2 linked regions of the Canis lupus familiaris genome follow. The protein of the gene in region 1 interacts with the protein of each later gene in a biochemical or structural test. Links are inferred from orthologs where the notes say so. Each region holds a gene or a part of one and is shown in the gene's direction. Other genes may lie near its edges.

Region 1 (3,600 bases):
AAACCTTCCTCAGACCTTTCTCATAAATACGTACCTACATGGGTTACCAAAGAAAACACATAGCAGTTTTGATTCACATTTTGAGAATTTAAATAATACAATATTCATAATTTAAAACAGGAATGAGTCTTTTTTTAACCGCAGAACATTGTTTAGGCAACTTTTCCTATTTGTTTTTTTCTTGAAAGCTTTGAGGGTGAAATGAAAAGATCTTTCCCCCCTCCACACTGAAACAGAGAATAGCTCCAGAAGAGACAGTGGCTGGGGGATTGAGCATGTGAAGGACTTTTCTCTGTAAACTTCCAGAAACTTTTTAAGTTTTCACCATATTCAGGTATTTTATTTTTCAGTCTTTCTCCTTTTATTCAAATGGAATTTTGCCATAGAATTCAATGTAATTAAATTATTTATTAAAGATCTTTATTAAAAAAAAAAAAAGATCTTTATTCATGAGACATCAGAAACAGAGACACAGGCAGAGGGAGAAGCAGGCTCCCTGCGGGGACCTCAACACAGGACTGGATCCCAGGACCCCGGGGTCACGCCCCGAGCCAAAGGCACTCAACCACTGAGTCACCCAGGTGCCCCAAATTTTGTATTTGGGATATTAAATTGTGTCCCCCCCCCCCCCGCCCACGAATGTACAGGCCTGGGATTGGACTTGTGTTTCTGAGACCCCAGGCCTAAGGAAGTTGTACGTCTGAGCTCCACTGAGTGTCCACCAGATGCCTCCGTGTGTGTATCTAGTACAAGGCGGCGTAGGTGGTACAGGAAGGCCAAAGGACATTCTAGAAAGTTCGGTGGACTTCCAGACGCCTCTCGAATAGGTGCGGGCAAAGCGTGCGGGGTTTCTGCGCCCCCTTCTAGCCTTCGGCCGTCCCGCACCCCCTGCTCCCCCGCTGCCCCAGCCCAGCCCGGGCCCACCTCCCGCCCCGCGCCGCGATCTGTCGAGTCATCCGTCCTGTCCGCGCCCGCGCGGGGGGATGGGCGGGCCGCAGGCCCCGGCGCGAGGACCCCTGCGGTCGCGGAGGGGCGAGGGACCACGACGCCCAACCCCTCTCCGCCCAGGGCGGGTCTCGAGAGCCGCGGGGACCGCTGCGGCCGAGGGGAAGGGGTGTCTGGGTCCCGCGGCAGGGGCAGCTCGCCCCGGACGCCCGGCGATTCCGCGCCGGGTTTTCCCGTCTCCCGCGGGCCCTGTTCTCCGCGCTCGCCCCCTCCCCCCTCCCCCCTCGCATCCGGCGCCGGCCACGTCCGCGGACGCAGCACTCAACGGGCGCGCTGATCCCTCCGCGCGGGCGCTCGGGACCGCGGCCCTCTCCTCGCCAGATTCAGCCCTACAGCCCAGCCTTGACAGGTCGACGTTTCCGGGGGCTCCTAGAAGATTCTGGGGCAGTGGTTTTCTCCCTGGAGGCCAGGAAGACGGTGAAAAGTAGTCCCTTCTCGGCGTTTCTGCGCAGGGATCCGCCGGAGCGGCGCGGCCGATTGTTATATAAGGAGGCGCCGGGCGTGGCGCAGGCAGTTCCGTGGAGGCCGGGAGGTCGGTTGTTCGTCTCCGTGCGCTTCTGTCACAGCCGCTTGGTGAGGAGCGGGCCGCTGCGCGGGCCTGGGGGTCTTGGGGCCCTGCAGGGGCGGGGGGCCGGGCAGCCGGCTGCCCGGGGAGTTGCCCGCGGCGCCGGAGCGCGGTTACTCTTGGGGGGGGGGGCGCAGCAAAATGGCGTCCGCTACGGCTCCTGTGCGGGGAGAAGCCGAGGTGCGAGGGGCCGTGAGGAGCCCGGGAGACGGGATGGCTGTGAGCGGGCGAGACGCGCCGAGCCAGTGGGGCCCTGACGGGGCCCTCTGCGCAGTGAGTGGGGGCGGGAAGCCCCTGTGTGCTCCGCGGCCCCGCTGGCGCCACGCTCCGTGTCCGGTCGCGGCGAGTGGGCCCGAAGTGCCGGAGCAGTCCTGCGCCCGTTTGGGGGGAGGGGGCCCGCTCGTCGCGTCGGTCATGTGATGTCATCGCTTTGTCAGCTAACAATCCGGGGTGGGGCCGCGTGTTCCTGTGTGTGGAGCCGGCTTGGGTCAGTCGCGGGGCACAAGGGTTAGGCGGGGCGGGGGAGGGGAGATCCTGCGGATTGTCCGGTCCAGACATCACTGAGGGGGGAGGGGAAGATACGGAAGCCGGCGCCTTCACTTGACCGGTATCCATGCTTTCTCTCCTCCTGGGGCCTGGAACTTGGTTTTGGAGCTTATTTGAGTTTCCAAAACCTGTCCTGTTTCTTCGCCTTAGGTTTTTTGGCGAGGTTTATTTTAGTTCTTGGGTTAGTGTAAAATGACCAGTAACTGTTAGCGTTCTATTCACATGTGAGTGGTCTGTTACACTCCGGATTGTTTTTTTTGTTTTTTTGGGTTTTTTTGTGACAGACAATGCAGATCTTCGTGAAGACTTTGACGGGTAAGACCATCACCCTGGAGGTGGAGCCCAGTGACACCATCGAGAACGTCAAGGCGAAGATCCAGGACAAGGAGGGCATCCCCCCTGACCAGCAGAGGTTGATCTTTGCTGGCAAACAGCTGGAAGATGGGCGCACCCTGTCCGACTACAACATCCAGAAGGAGTCCACTCTGCACCTGGTCCTTCGCCTCAGGGGGGGCATGCAGATCTTCGTGAAGACCTTGACGGGTAAGACCATCACCCTGGAGGTGGAGCCCAGTGACACCATCGAGAACGTCAAGGCGAAGATCCAGGACAAGGAGGGCATCCCCCCTGACCAGCAGAGGTTGATCTTTGCCGGCAAACAGCTGGAAGATGGGCGCACCCTGTCCGACTACAACATCCAGAAGGAGTCCACTCTGCACCTGGTCCTTCGCCTCAGGGGGGGCATGCAGATCTTCGTGAAGACCTTGACGGGTAAGACCATCACCCTGGAGGTGGAGCCCAGTGACACCATCGAGAACGTCAAGGCGAAGATCCAGGACAAGGAGGGCATCCCCCCTGACCAGCAGAGGTTGATCTTTGCCGGCAAACAGCTGGAAGATGGGCGCACCCTGTCCGACTACAACATCCAGAAGGAGTCCACTCTGCACCTGGTCCTTCGCCTCAGGGGGGGCATGCAGATCTTCGTGAAGACTTTGACGGGTAAGACCATCACCCTGGAGGTGGAGCCCAGTGACACCATCGAGAACGTCAAGGCGAAGATCCAGGACAAGGAGGGCATCCCCCCTGACCAGCAGAGGTTGATCTTTGCCGGCAAACAGCTGGAAGATGGGCGCACCCTGTCCGACTACAACATCCAGAAGGAGTCCACTCTGCACCTGGTCCTTCGCCTCAGGGGGGGCATGCAGATCTTCGTGAAGACCTTGACGGGTAAGACCATCACCCTGGAGGTGGAGCCCAGTGACACCATCGAGAACGTCAAGGCGAAGATCCAGGACAAGGAGGGCATCCCCCCTGACCAGCAGAGGTTGATCTTTGCTGGCAAACAGCTGGAAGATGGGCGCACCCTGTCCGACTACAACATCCAGAAGGAGTCCACTCTGCACCTGGTCCTTCGCCTCAGGGGGGGCATGCAGATCTTCGTGAAGACCTTGACGGGTAAGACCATCACCCTGGAGGTGGAGCCC
Region 2 (3,813 bases), on another chromosome or scaffold:
CAGCCCAGCTCAGCGCAGCCCAGCTCAGCCCAGCGTAGGCCAGCGCCTCCCAGCCCAGCTCAGCCCACCCCAGCGCAGCCCAGCGTAGCCCAGCCCAGCGCAGCCCAGAGCAGCCCAGCTCAGCGGAGCGCAGCCCAGCATAGCCCAGCCCAGCGCCTCCCAGCTCAGCGCAGCCCAGCTCAGCCCACACCAGCGCAGCCCAGCGTAGCCCAGCCCAGCGCAGCCCAGAGCAGCCCAGCTCAGCGGAGCGCAGCCCAGCATAGCCCAGCCCAGCGCCTCCCAGCTCAGCGCAGCCCAGCTCAGCCCACACCAGCGCAGCCCAGCTCAGCCCACCCCAGCCCAGCGTAGCCCAGCCCAGCGCAGCCCAGCGCAGCTCAGTGCCCAGCACAGCCCAGCACAGCCCAGCGCCCAGCACACACCAGCGCATCCCAGTACAGCCCAGCGCCTCGCAGCCCAGCTCAGCCCAGCACAGCCCAGCGCAGCCCAGCGCCCAGCACACCCCAGCGCATCCCAGTGCAGCCCACCCCAGCCCAGCGTAGCTCAGCCCAGCGTAGCTCAGCCCAGCCCAGCCCAGCGCAGCCCAAGCCGACCCGGACCGGAGCCTAGTTAGCAGCGGTTCTTCCCTCCGCAACAACGCCCTCGAGTAAAGCGCGTGGTCCTGGCCGCGTCTGAACACCTTTCTCCCTCCGTGAACTGGTTCTTGCTGTTGCCGGACTCCACGGTCTCCGCACCCGGGCTGGAGACAACCGCGGCGAGGAAGGCCGTGCCGCAGGGGGAGGAACGAGGCTGCCGGCCGGGCCCGCCGCGGCCCCTTCCCGCGCTCCAGCGCGCCCACCTCCGCCCGGGAGGCTGCGCGCCGCGGGGCGGGGGCGGGGGCGGGGGCGAGCGGCGCGGCGGGGCGGGGCGGGGCGGGGCGGGGCGGGGGGCTGCGGGCGCCCAGCGCCCCCTCGGGGAGCGCGCGCCTGCGCCCCCCGTGCCCGGCCGCCCCGGCCCGCCCCGCCCCGGCCCGCCCCGCCCCGGCCCGCGGCGCCCCCGCCCCCTTGGGCGCTCCGTAGCCGTGACGTGCGCGCGCCGGGGCCGGGGACTCGGCGGGGCGCCGGCCGGCGGGCGGAGACGGCCCCGGGATCTGTCCGAGCAGGAAGCTCGCAGGACCGCGGTCGCCGCCGCCGCCGCCGCCGCGTCTCCGAGCCTGTCCACGCAGTCGCCCTTCGCGCTCGACTTGGTTACCTTTCACCCCGCCCTCCACCTCGCCGGCCACAGGTAGCCTCGCCTCCGCGCACCTGCGCTCGCGGCCACCCCGGTGAGTGGCGCGGGGCCGCTCCTCGGGGCGTCGGCGTCGGCGTCGGCGTCCGGGCCTCGCGTCCCCGGGCCGCGCTGCTTCGGGCCTCCGCCGCCGGGGCTGACGGCCGGGTCTCCGCCCGGGATGCGCGCGGTGAGGCAGGTGCCGGCTGGGCCCGGCCGGCGGCTCACGGCGGTGCGGGGCTGGTTCTGGTTTTCACGGGTCTGTCGTCAGCAGGCTACCTGTGGGTCCCTTCCCTGCCCCCGGGTAGCAGAGCACTCCGGTGCCCCACCCGGACGTGGACGCCCCGTGGTAGTTCTTTCTCTTGAGTAAACAAGCTTGAAATCCAGCGCAGGAACAGTGCCGCCTGCTCGGAGATACCTTCGTATCAGGTGCCGGCCACTGTCGAATTGATAGTCTAGTCATGTAGAAGACCGGGTGGGACCGTCTGAACGGGATAATTTTAGTCCTTAGGTGGTCCAGTACTTTGAGTATGTTAATGGACATTTGTGCTACCGAACAAGAGCTTTTTATATTTGTTAATTTCCAAAAACTCCTTAAAACCATTCAGATGCTCCAACCCCGGGATGTTTTTTTTTAAGATTTTACTTATTTATTCATGAGAGAGAGAGACAGAGAGAGAGAGAGAGAGGCAGAGGGAGAAGCAGGCTCCACGCCGGGAGCCCGATGCGGGACTCGATCCCGGGACTCGATCCGGGCCGAAGGCAGGCGCTAAACCGCTGAGCCACCCAGGGATCCCCAACCCCGGGATTTTAAGTAGGAAGTAATTTGGTAGGGTTATTACTGGCACATCCGTGTCGGAAATACTATTTCTGTAGTGTTTAAGGAGACAGGTTACGTTTTATGGGGCATAAAGTTGTAGTGGAGGAATGTATGCATCCTAATCTACAGATACTAGTGAGCAGCTAGGAGCACTGCCGCAACTTCACAGATTGCTGTACGTGCTAAATAAAAGTTTCATTTGCTGTTATGCTCTGGTGGTGTAGATGCAAAGTATCTGAGTATCGTCAGGGTGTGAAAGTTTTAAAAATTCTTAAGGTTTAGTTGAAACTCTTCACACCATGAAATGTGAATCTTGAACTTGGGCTGGAATGGTCATGGTGCAAAGGTTGGCAGGAAAACAGCATATCTGTACAAATTAACTAAACTTCATAGATACCTTGGGTTGTGGTTTTATATTTGGAAATTGCTTCGTGAAAAAATTACCTTGGTATTTTTTATCATTAATTTTAGAAACATTACACATTGGGCTATAGCCAGAGCTTGAAACAATGCAGCCATTCAAAGTAACTCATTGACTTTTAAATATACAGCTCATGTTGAGTATTTTAAATTGCGCAGGAATTATACACACAGTGGTAAACAAGTCATTTTAGTCTTAGGCAGATTTGCCTATTGCGTTTGTGTGTTCTATGTGACATTGTTCTCCCAGTTTGAGTTACCTTTTCGTTTTCAAAAGGTAATTTTAAAAAGAAGTAAAAGAACTTTAGAAAGAGATTACAGGATTAAAAACTCTAAATACATATTATGTAAAACTGTAATACACGTATTCTTCATTAGTCCAGAAGCATGAACAAGAAAAGTGTAATGCATTATTGTAATATTTAATGTAAATTAATATGATGTATTAAGAACAGATCATAAGTCATAACCCATGGCGCTTATCTGAAGTGGATTTTTTCCCTCTGTTTATGTTTATGTGATCAAGTTTTAAAATAACAGTGGCCAGGAAATCTGAGAGAGGCTGAAGGCTCTTTTCTCATCCTGTTGTGACTTTGCCTGGAGACTGTGGTGTATCATGTAGCCCATTGTTTAGATAACTGGGCTGTCTCTGGGTTCTAAAGTACAGCTCTTTTAAGAAAGTTTTAAATTTTTTTGCTTTGTGAGGTTTGGATAAATCTAAGCACCCAAAACATTTTTTAGAAAATTAACCAGTTTTCACTGTTGATAATTGAAGCTTCATTTTGATATTTAAAAATGTCAGTTTTAAAAAGATTTCTGACCTCTGTGAAATTTTCATGTTTGTATATGAAAACATTTTCAGTAAAAGACTAAAAATGGTATTACTGCTTTGCTAACTCTCATACAGTTTGTGATCCCTTTAATGATGTACTTCATAATAATTCTGAACTGGCCCTCATTTTTTAAAATTAATGAATTAATTAAAAAAAGATTTTTATTTATTTATTTGAGAGAAAATGAGAGAGCAAGCACACAAGGGGCAGAGAGAGACGGAGAAGCAGATTCCCAGATGCGGGGGCTCTATCCCAGAAACTTGGGATCATGACCTGAGCCAAAGGCAGACACTTACCCAACTGAGCCATCCGGGTGCCCCTGAACTGGCCCTTTGGTAGTATAAGATCATCACCCACCCACTGGATGGAATTGGTATAATTCCTATACCATATAGGAATCTGGTATAATCAGAACACTGAGAGATTTAATCTACAAAATAATTTTCAAGGTTGGTGGTCTTGTCCTTTTACACATGAGGAAATTTAAGCTTAGAGAAT

The links.
Region 2: the proteins of UBC (region 1) and MYO6 form a complex in vitro, tested with the Homo sapiens proteins (6 studies listed by BioGRID, with this or other methods). The link is inferred for Canis lupus familiaris from reciprocal best matches to the Homo sapiens genes UBC and MYO6.

What each region holds. Positions count from the first base shown.
Region 1 is NC_049247.1:5,228,627-5,232,226, forward strand, and holds the start of UBC (polyubiquitin-C), read left to right. Parts: upstream 1-1,419; 5' UTR 1,420-1,578; intron 1,579-2,400; 5' UTR 2,401-2,403; coding exon 2,404-3,600.
Region 2 is NC_049233.1:37,584,925-37,588,737, forward strand, and holds the start of MYO6 (unconventional myosin-VI), read left to right. Parts: upstream 1-1,082; 5' UTR 1,083-1,260; exon of another isoform or gene 1,261-1,300; intron 1,301-3,813. UniProt on the Homo sapiens protein: Myosins are actin-based motor molecules with ATPase activity. Unconventional myosins serve in intracellular movements. Myosin 6 is a reverse-direction motor protein that moves towards the minus-end of actin filaments.